2 linked regions of the Mus musculus genome follow. Each later gene encodes a partner of the first gene's protein in a complex. Links are inferred from orthologs where the notes say so. Each region holds a gene or a part of one and is shown on either strand. Other genes may lie near its edges. The genes, in order: Oprm1 and Pomc.

Region 1 (4,434 bases):
GAAGAAGACTGAGGTAAAGTAGCATCACACTGCGAGAGATTACAGGGCTAGATCACAAAATGATCTGATAGCAAAGGCAGCAGTAAGCACCACAAGTCAACCTGTCATTCACAAGAAGGGGGTAAAGATGGTTCTGTGTGTCCTGGGGAGACCGATGAATGTGAGCACACAGATTTCAGCTCAGCCATATGAACTGACACACTTATTCCGAAGAGAATATATTTAAAGGTATTTTAGCAGCCTCTAGAAAACCTTATCTACATTACTGCTGAAATGACACCCTTTAACGCAAAAGGGGACAAATAATACTGAACGTTGGCCAAAAGTCTACAATAGTTGAGCTGTGTGTTATCTTTTTTTCAGAATGATTGCTTAAAAGTAAAAATATATGTTCCTTCTAAGCTTGCTTCCCCACAGTCTGTGAGAATTCAGTTAAACTTTCTACAACCAAATGGGAGCGGGGACATTTATTTCCAGTATTTATAGTTAAAACTATGGGTATGCGCATGGCATGCATATGCATACACAGTGTTGAGACGAAACCACACTACTGCTGAATTTACGATTGTATTCCTTCAGAAGCACTTGTGAACTTAGACATGAGATCTAACATTTTTTAAATGCATTCTTGCTCCTCAAGGATCTTGCTTAAGGCCATTTCACACTCAAAAGAGCTGTGGAGTTTCTTTTGGATTCTCTATAGTGGGAAGAAAAAACATTTCTGCTTGATTCAGTAACCTGCTCCCCAGAAGCTCGGGAGAGTGGAGGCAGTGCGAAAGCTTAGGATAAATCTTCCTAAGCAGGTCCAGGAGAGTAGACCTGGCATGGGTAGTGGGTTCCTTATTTACAGGTTATCACCCCTCCTCCCTCACATCTCTAATGTGTTCTTATGCTTCTTCTTCACTAGGAAAAAAATCAGATGCAAATAGACCTTCTAACCTAAGAGAAATTGAAGGAGTGGGGGCACATGAAACAGGCTTCTTTCACAAAAATTTTCTCTTTTAGAAAAAGACAATTGTTTCTTTGAACAGGTTTGTGGGGTTGATTTTTTGAGGAACTAAAGGGGTTTTTTGTTTTGTTTTGTTTTGGTTTGTTTGTTTGTTTTCCCTCAGATATGGGGATGTGGGTAAAGGACAACATTAATAACCCTCCAGTCCTAATTAATTGCATATGGTTAGTTGAGTCGGAAGAGTGTTGAGGTATAAGGGTCATTGAGATTTTAACAGACCAACGACTTTCCTGGCTGATGCAAACAACCTAATGCATGGTTGTTACAAAGAAACTTAGAGTCTCTCTTCCCACCCTCTCTGCAGCATCCCCGCTTCTGCTCCCCCCCCCCCTACCCCAATTTACACTCCTTTACACGGAAGTGCATAGAGACTGAGGAGGCTGATTCTGAGTTGCTTTGCGCACAATCCACTCCTTCTCTCTCCTCCCTCCCCTCTAGCCTCTGGATCCCTCACAGCCCATGCTCCCTCCCTTCCACTCAGAGAGTGGCGCTTTGGGGATGCTAAGGATGCGCCTCCGTGTACTTCTAAGGTGGGAGGGGGCTACAAGCAGAGGAGAATATCGGACGCTCAGACGTTCCATTCTGCCTGCCGCTCTTCTCTGGTTCCACTAGGGCTTGTCCTTGTAAGAAACTGACGGAGCCTAGGGCAGCTGTGAGAGGAAGAGGCTGGGGCGCCTGGAACCCGAACACTCTTGAGTGCTCTCAGTTACAGCCTACCGAGTCCGCAGCAAGCATTCAGAACCATGGACAGCAGCGCCGGCCCAGGGAACATCAGCGACTGCTCTGACCCCTTAGCTCCTGCAAGTTGCTCCCCAGCACCTGGCTCCTGGCTCAACTTGTCCCACGTTGATGGCAACCAGTCCGACCCATGCGGTCCTAACCGCACGGGGCTTGGCGGGAGCCACAGCCTGTGCCCTCAGACCGGCAGCCCTTCCATGGTCACAGCCATCACCATCATGGCCCTCTATTCTATCGTGTGTGTAGTGGGCCTCTTTGGAAACTTCCTGGTCATGTATGTGATTGTAAGGTAAGGCATGTTCTGAATACCTAGTTCCGCAGGGGGGAGGGGACAAAGCTCCCCCATGAGTGACAGAGGAGAAGTAAACAGGGTACAAAGAGGGGGTGGTTTGAATAGAGTATTTGCTGTTTGTGTGTGAGCTTTTACTTTTCTGGGTTTTGTTGGTTGGTTGGTTTTATTTTTCTCCCTCTCCTTGAAAAAGCAGTGTTCAAGATTCCAAAGACAAGACATTTCTTTGGCCAAAACTATTAAGATGTGGTGGTGGGAGGCTCCATCTTGGATCCCCTTTTTATTCTAAGCCAAGAGGGTCTTTGAAGCATGTTTTGCAGTCAATCCTCCCTCTGGATGAGCTGTAAGAATAGGAAATTGTAAACAGTGAGGAGGGGAACCTTGTTTGCTTCTCCTAACTGAAAGACAGAGGCTTCACAGTAAGTTAAAGAGATAAACTCGATAACTTTTTTAGACCTGCTGGTTTAGGCTAGACTACAGTCCCACCACTTCTATATTCTGGGAGCCTTTATCTTACTCTTCTTCCATCCTGAGGCTGCCCCAGGTGGAGGAAGCTTTCCTGCCATCTCTCCTGGGCAGGGTAGCTTAAAGGTAGCAAGTAAGCTGTTGTGATGTTTAGCCCAGTACAGTACTTTCTTCCTGCAGTTCTGCTGAGGGAGTTCCAAGTGGGATCTGGAATTGCTGGGTAGCTCAGGGCATAACTATTTCTTCAGTGCTTGCAAACATGAGAAGCAATTAAGGAAGTTAAAAGCAGCAACGTTCAGGATGGTCTAGAGAGGAAAGTATCTCTATCTAGTGAAATTACTTTCAAAGAGTTTGAACAGAAAGAGTCTGCTTTCTGTTGTTTTGGGTGCTCCAGATGAATTCAGCAAAGATTGAACGTGATATTGTGTTGGCTGAGTTACATCTTCAGATTCAGCCTGTTACTGTGGAGTACTTATCTATCCACTTCTGATAAAGTAGATGGATACCCCAGCACTTTAAAATGGCTCCTGATTTGAGTTTTCTTCCCAGTGGGGTTATGTGGCATCATGAGCTTGGCACTTCCATGTTTAGTTACAATATTTGCTTCACCTATTCAACACACATGTCTCAGGCTTCCACAGAGTGCTCAGAGTCCCTGAAAGATCATTTCCCTCATTATGCTTTTATTCCCAAGGTACTGCAAATTGCTTGTCTGATTTCTTTAATTAATGATTGTTTAAAGTAAAGCTGATTTCTCTGGTCTTTGGGTGAAGGATGTGTCTCTGAGAAAAGAGCACCATCTATTGAAAGGAAGGCTAACAGCAGAAGAAAAACACAGGCAGAGAATCAATATAGAAATGTATGCTTTGAGACATTTATTCTCTGTGATTCAAAACAGAGATTCAAATTAGAGATTCAGTCAGTCTCATCACACAGTTACAGCAGTAATTAAAAGATGGCTTTTGGTAAGGAAAATATGCTATTCATTGTTCCTGGGGGGTAAAAACAGAATCATAAAATGAGAGAACTGAAATGTTCTTAGGGTTTTCTATGCTAGACAATTGAACCAATACAAAGAAATCATTTTTTTTTTAACTGAGACAAGATATTTACTAGTTCACTGCCCATGGCTGTCACTGTGCTCACATAATTTTCTGTTTATTAGGATATATACATTGATGGTTTGAGTTAATTCTTTTGCTAGATCAAGAGAGAAAGCTTGCTTTACAGTAGTGATACTAAATAACAAAACACCCCAAATTTATGCATGTGTTCTTGGGTTTAAAAGGTGCGAAACAATTGCCAAAGAATCCAGGAGCTTTTTCTCTTTATGATCTCAGCATCTTCCTCCCTCCTTTTTATCCCCTCCAGCTTCTATTTTTCTATAAAGAGTGCCAGTAGCACAGGAAGCAGCTGGAGCAGACATGGCTTGGTCTTTGCCCAATGCTGAGTTCGTTCCTGGCCTGGTGGGTTCATTTTAAAAGCATTGCCTCTCACTTGTTCACTTGGAGACATGGTCACACTGTCTCTCACTGAGAACATGGTATTGTGCTTTTTTTTCTCTGTACTGAAAGTTCTGACAAAGGCAGCTCTATTTGAAAGGTCAACCCAAACACCCACCTGTGGCAGATAAAGTGCTTAATTCCATGGGCAGATAACCTTCTGAGAATAAGAATGTGAAATAGAAAAAGAGGCAGTTCAATGACACATGAAGTGCTGGTCAAGTGTCTGTGGGCTGAAGACTCTGTGCCTAGGTAGCTGAGCTCATTCAACTGACTGTCTGTAATTTTCAATGTCCCAGATCCGCTCAGGAACTGTGTCACTCTTTTACAAAAGAAAAGTATGAGCCCACAAAGTAATAAAAGGAGCTCACTTACATCTACTCCCTAAAACAACACATATGATTAAGTAGTCCATGAGCTACGACTGCTGG
Region 2 (4,445 bases), on another chromosome or scaffold:
TAATAAGCTACATATACAGATGAGACAAGAATGGGGTTCCCTGCCGAACACAGATCATTTCTCAGGCTCCTGGCAGAAATAATAGCCAAAGGGGGCTTAATATGAACTGGGAGATGATGGGGAGTAACCTCACTGGAGGGACAGAGGGTGCTAAGCTTCCGGGAAACACTCAGGGAAGTAGAGGCAGAAAGTAGTGCTCATGGAGTATGAGTGTTGGGAGTATGTGACACCCAGGATACAAGATGGACAGCAGGAAGTCACTCCGGAAAGAGGCCACAGCCAGGTGACACACTCCTTGCTCTTGTTTGGGAGCTTGGTGTGTTCTCTCATGGCACAAAAGGAAAAGATTTTTGGATGCCAATCAGAAAAGCTGAACTCTCAAAGGAGCCCTGGAATCCCCCAAACAAAACAAAGCAAATAGACAAGCAAACAGCGTCTAACTGGGGAGTGAAGTTCCTTCAGCTGGTAGATTAGGCAGGCACCCCGACTGGTCTGGTACAGGCCTGGTCCTGCTGCCAGCCACAGCTCTCTTCACAAGTTTTGCTCTTTGTGCTGGCTCAGGTAGATGCCACTGCAGGTCTGTTCTTCCTTCTGTTTTGGCCTGTGAGTTCACAGCTAAGCCAGAATGCCTGGGCCTGGCCACATGGTGAGGGCTGTCAGACAATCCCCACCCAGACCATTCTGCCAGCTCAGCCCCGGGATGGCTTCCATTTCCATTGCCCACCACAGAGCGCTGCACCTCTTGGTTAATAGTCTGAGGCTGGCATGACCTTGCCCTTAGAGTTTGGGCACAGAAGGACACCTGTCTTGAAATAAGTATTGGGGAATCAAGGCAGGCACACACCCCACTCCAAAAGGTAGCCTGCCTTGGGCGGCCGTGACTCTTGACAGCCTCTGTTGTCTCCCTTCTCAAAACGGAACTGAGATTTTGGTTTCACAAGATATCACACTTTCCCATCATTGGGGAAATCTGCGACATAACAAATCCCCTTCCTCATTAGTGATATTTACCTCCAAATGCCAGGAAGGCAGATGGACGCACATAGGTAATTCCACTCCGATCTGCAAGATCTCAGAACTAGGCCTGCCTCGCACAGGGACGCTAAGCCTCTGTCCAGTTCTAAGTGGAGATTCAACACCATTCTTAATTAAGTTCTTCCTAACCACCAGCGCCAGGTGTGCGCTTCAGCGGGTCTGTGCTAACGCCAGCCTCCGCGCTTTCCAGGCAGATGTGCCTTGCGCTCAGCCAGGACCGGGAAGCCCCCCTCCCGAGGCCCGCCGCCCCCCTTCGCTGCAGAAGCGCTGCCAGGAAGGTCACGTCCAAGGCTCACCCACCCAACCCTGCAAGTATAAAAGAAGAGAGAAGAGCGACAGGGACCAAACGGGAGGCGACGGAAGAGAAAAGAGGTTAAGAGCAGTGACTAAGAGAGGCCACTGAACATCTTTGTCCCCAGAGAGCTGCCTTTCCGCGACAGGTAAGGGTGTCTCAGCTCTGGACAGCTCCCTTACTCTGAGCTCTGACCCCGGACCTTGGGATCCTCAGCAGACTGGCGTTCTGGTTTGTAGCGGACCTGACCTCTTCTCAAACTTCTGAGATGGGAGAGAGCTGAGCCCGGATGATGGGTTGACAGACTGCTCCAGAGAGCAGGTGGTTTGGCGACTCCATCTGGGGATGGTCCCAGAGTCCGCATGGAGGAATGAAGTGTTGGGAGGCTTAGGATTGTCTTAGACTCCGACTGGCCCCTGGGGAGATTTTGGGAGAGTTCCCCTTTAGGCTTCTCCTTCCGATTGTTTGGACTTGTATATCTTCTTTAAGGCAGGAGACTGAACATGTTGGAAAGATAGCGGGAGAGAAAGCCGAGTCACAATAAACTCCTAATGGTGGAGTTCATTTGTTGTTGCTGTAGACGTCCAAACCCTCGTTTCTCTGCGCATCTTAGCAGATCTGGGGTGGTTGCATTGTGATAATTACGTGGGTTATAGGACAGGACGGTAAGTAGGTTCTTGTCTTCAAGATCCAGCTCAGATTTAAAAACAGGGTGTGGGAGGGAACTGTCCAAGGTTCTGAAATACTCCGTCTACTTTCGGAAGCCTTTATAAAACTGTGGGGGCGTTGCAGCAATTTGTAAGGACCCATACTCAGGTAAAGGACATTTCAAATGGAGAGAAAGATTCCCTCAAGTTTTCCATGTATAAATCATGGGAAGCTTTCACAGAATGGCTGGAAGGAGTTAAGTAAAATGAAAAGAAGTTTGTCAATGTATAAAGTAAGTGCAGATTGTTTCCTTTGGGTCTTATAGAAGTTGAAGCAAACGCACTGTGTATGGATGAAGCCGCATCTCTGTGCCTCTCAGATTTATACACAGCTTGTCGCAGTCACTCTGAGAGCAGAACATATAAGCTCTACTGAGTTCAGAGACTTTTCTGGGGCCCTAATAAGCGCAGTTCTGTCAAAATGAATAAACCACAACCTTCTGTCTTCCAGAGATGTTAATGACTGGAACCTGACACTCTCCTATCTATGAAAAGCACAGCATTTGACATTTCCCTCAATACTTTTGATTAAAAAAAAAAAGAGGCACAAATAAGACATTTGTTTCATTGTAAGAAAAGGGAGAAATACAAATAAAATGCTCTAGGAGTGGGGCATAAGAATTTCAGCACACAGTGGGTGGGCTAGGAAGAGAAGGCACAATTTTGAAGGCCTGAAATCTCAACTGTGGCTCCTTCAAAGATGGTCACACAACTTTCAGGACAATGGAAACTTAGTGAGAGGACTTGCATGATCTTACTTTTCTTTACTAATATGTTTTCATGCTATTTATCATTTTTTATGCTTTCCTATCTGGGGGAATTTTGTGATCTCAGCATTTTGAGCTAATTTGCTCCAGTCTGAGCCTGAGCCCCAGCAATGGTGAACAAGGTTGCTTCTAGGCTGAGGTACGGACCACATAGTTCAATGACTGCTAGCGCCTACTAATGGTTGTTCTGAAAAAGACACTCAGAGCTTGCAGGAAAAACCAGCTCTAGAAGAATGGTGCAGGGGTGGAGCAGAGAGGAGAAAGAGATTCTTGAAGGAAGACTTTCACTTCCAAATCCTCCCTTTCAAAAATAGAGGTTTGGCTCCCGTCTTTATTTTCTGTCATATTCATCTTAAAATGCAAATGTTCATCAGGGGTAACAGACACTTAAGTCATTTACATCTTTTTTAAAATTATTACATTTTATTTTATTTTATTTTTTTCAGGTCAGGGTATTTCTGTGTAACCCTAGCTGTTCTGGAATTTTTTCTGTAGACCAGGCTGGTCTTGAACTCAGAGATCCTCCTGCCTCTATTTCCTGGGTGCTGGGATTAAAGGTATGAGCCTGGGTATTTACATCTTACTATGAACTAATTTTTCTAATCTAATTAAATGTCTTCCTAACAGCTGGTAATCTGAAATCCAGAATGAGTGTAAAGTTGGTGGGGAACTTTTACAGAGTAGGGTGACATTAGGGGTCCTTGGGTGAGGGGGAACAGATATCACAGGCTAAGAACCTAGCAGTGTGAGGGAAGAGCTGGACACCAGGGGACCAAAGTTGCTCTCTCTCTCTCTCTCTCTCTCTCTCTCTCTCTCTCTCTCTCCTGCCTGTTGGTCTTTTGACCTCCATATCTGCCCAGAGGTGCTTTGCATTCCTCCACAGTATCTTAGTCGTTCTCCACTGTGGAGGCAGCTTCCTTTCCATTCTTTTGCCTATCTCTCTGTCCTCAATATTGACATCCTCTTCAAAATCACATATTTCAGACTACAAGACTTATGATGTGTGGTGTGTATGTTTAGAAAACAGGATAGTTTTAAGGGAAGTGGAATCTGCTTTAGAGAGAAATCTTCCCAAAGTTACTAGGGTCTAGAAAATGACAGTCACCAGGCAATTTGTGTATAGAATATCAAACCTTGATTAAGTGGACTGGCTTTATTTGCCTGTATTCAAACCTACCTTTCATGGGAAATGATCAAATGTTAGGCGAAAGGAACCAAGGCAGGACTTTCCTATCTTTTGTCTTAGTTACTCTCACCCTTTGGATACAGAGTGTTGAACTATAGCTTTCTCCAGGCAGTGAACTTAGAAGCTATGTGGGAATGTGGAAAAACATACTTTTACTTCATCATGGACATAAAAGAAATGATCTTTTGGGGGCATCAGCTTTCCCACCTCCCAAATGAGGGGTTGGGCCAAGTGATATGGCAAATAGCTTCACCTAATTTTTTAAGGGTCTGATTTTAACAGGAAACAGAGAGGGAAACTGCCCATAGCTTGTGCTGTGCTCTCTACCCCTATCCCTTTCATCAAACACACACACACACACACACACACACACACACACACACACACACACACACACCTTCCATCTTCTGAGCCCCACTCCTGTCCTCAGAAAGCCTTGGGCTGTAAAGGTAAGAGCT

The links.
Region 2: the proteins of Oprm1 (region 1) and Pomc are in contact, whole or in part, in a cryo-EM structure (PDB 8F7Q), measured with the Homo sapiens proteins. The link is inferred for Mus musculus from reciprocal best matches to the Homo sapiens genes OPRM1 and POMC. Residues at the interface, in NP_000905.3 of Homo sapiens: Ser66, Met67, Ala70, Ile71, Met74, Gln126, Asn129, Tyr130, Leu131, Met132, Gly133, Trp135, Val145, Ile146, Asp149, Tyr150, Met153, Arg213, Ile217, Asp218, Cys219, Thr220, Glu231, Lys235, Val238, Ile298, Val302, Lys305, Trp320, Ile324; in NP_000930.1 of Homo sapiens: Tyr237, Gly238, Gly239, Phe240, Met241, Thr242, Ser243, Glu244, Lys245, Thr248, Pro249, Leu250, Val251, Leu253.

What each region holds. Positions count from the first base shown.
Region 1 is NC_000076.6:6,787,123-6,791,556, forward strand, and holds the start of Oprm1 (mu-type opioid receptor), read left to right. Parts: upstream 1-1,447; 5' UTR 1,448-1,752; coding exon 1,753-2,036; intron 2,037-3,872; coding exon of another isoform or gene 3,873-3,951; exon of another isoform or gene 3,952-4,121; intron 4,122-4,434. UniProt on the Homo sapiens protein: Receptor for endogenous opioids such as beta-endorphin and endomorphin. Receptor for natural and synthetic opioids including morphine, heroin, DAMGO, fentanyl, etorphine, buprenorphin and methadone.
Region 2 is NC_000078.6:3,953,572-3,958,016, forward strand, and holds the start of Pomc (pro-opiomelanocortin preproprotein), read left to right. Parts: upstream 1-1,373; 5' UTR 1,374-1,475; intron 1,476-1,816; exon of another isoform or gene 1,817-1,992; intron 1,993-3,247; exon of another isoform or gene 3,248-3,358; intron 3,359-4,445.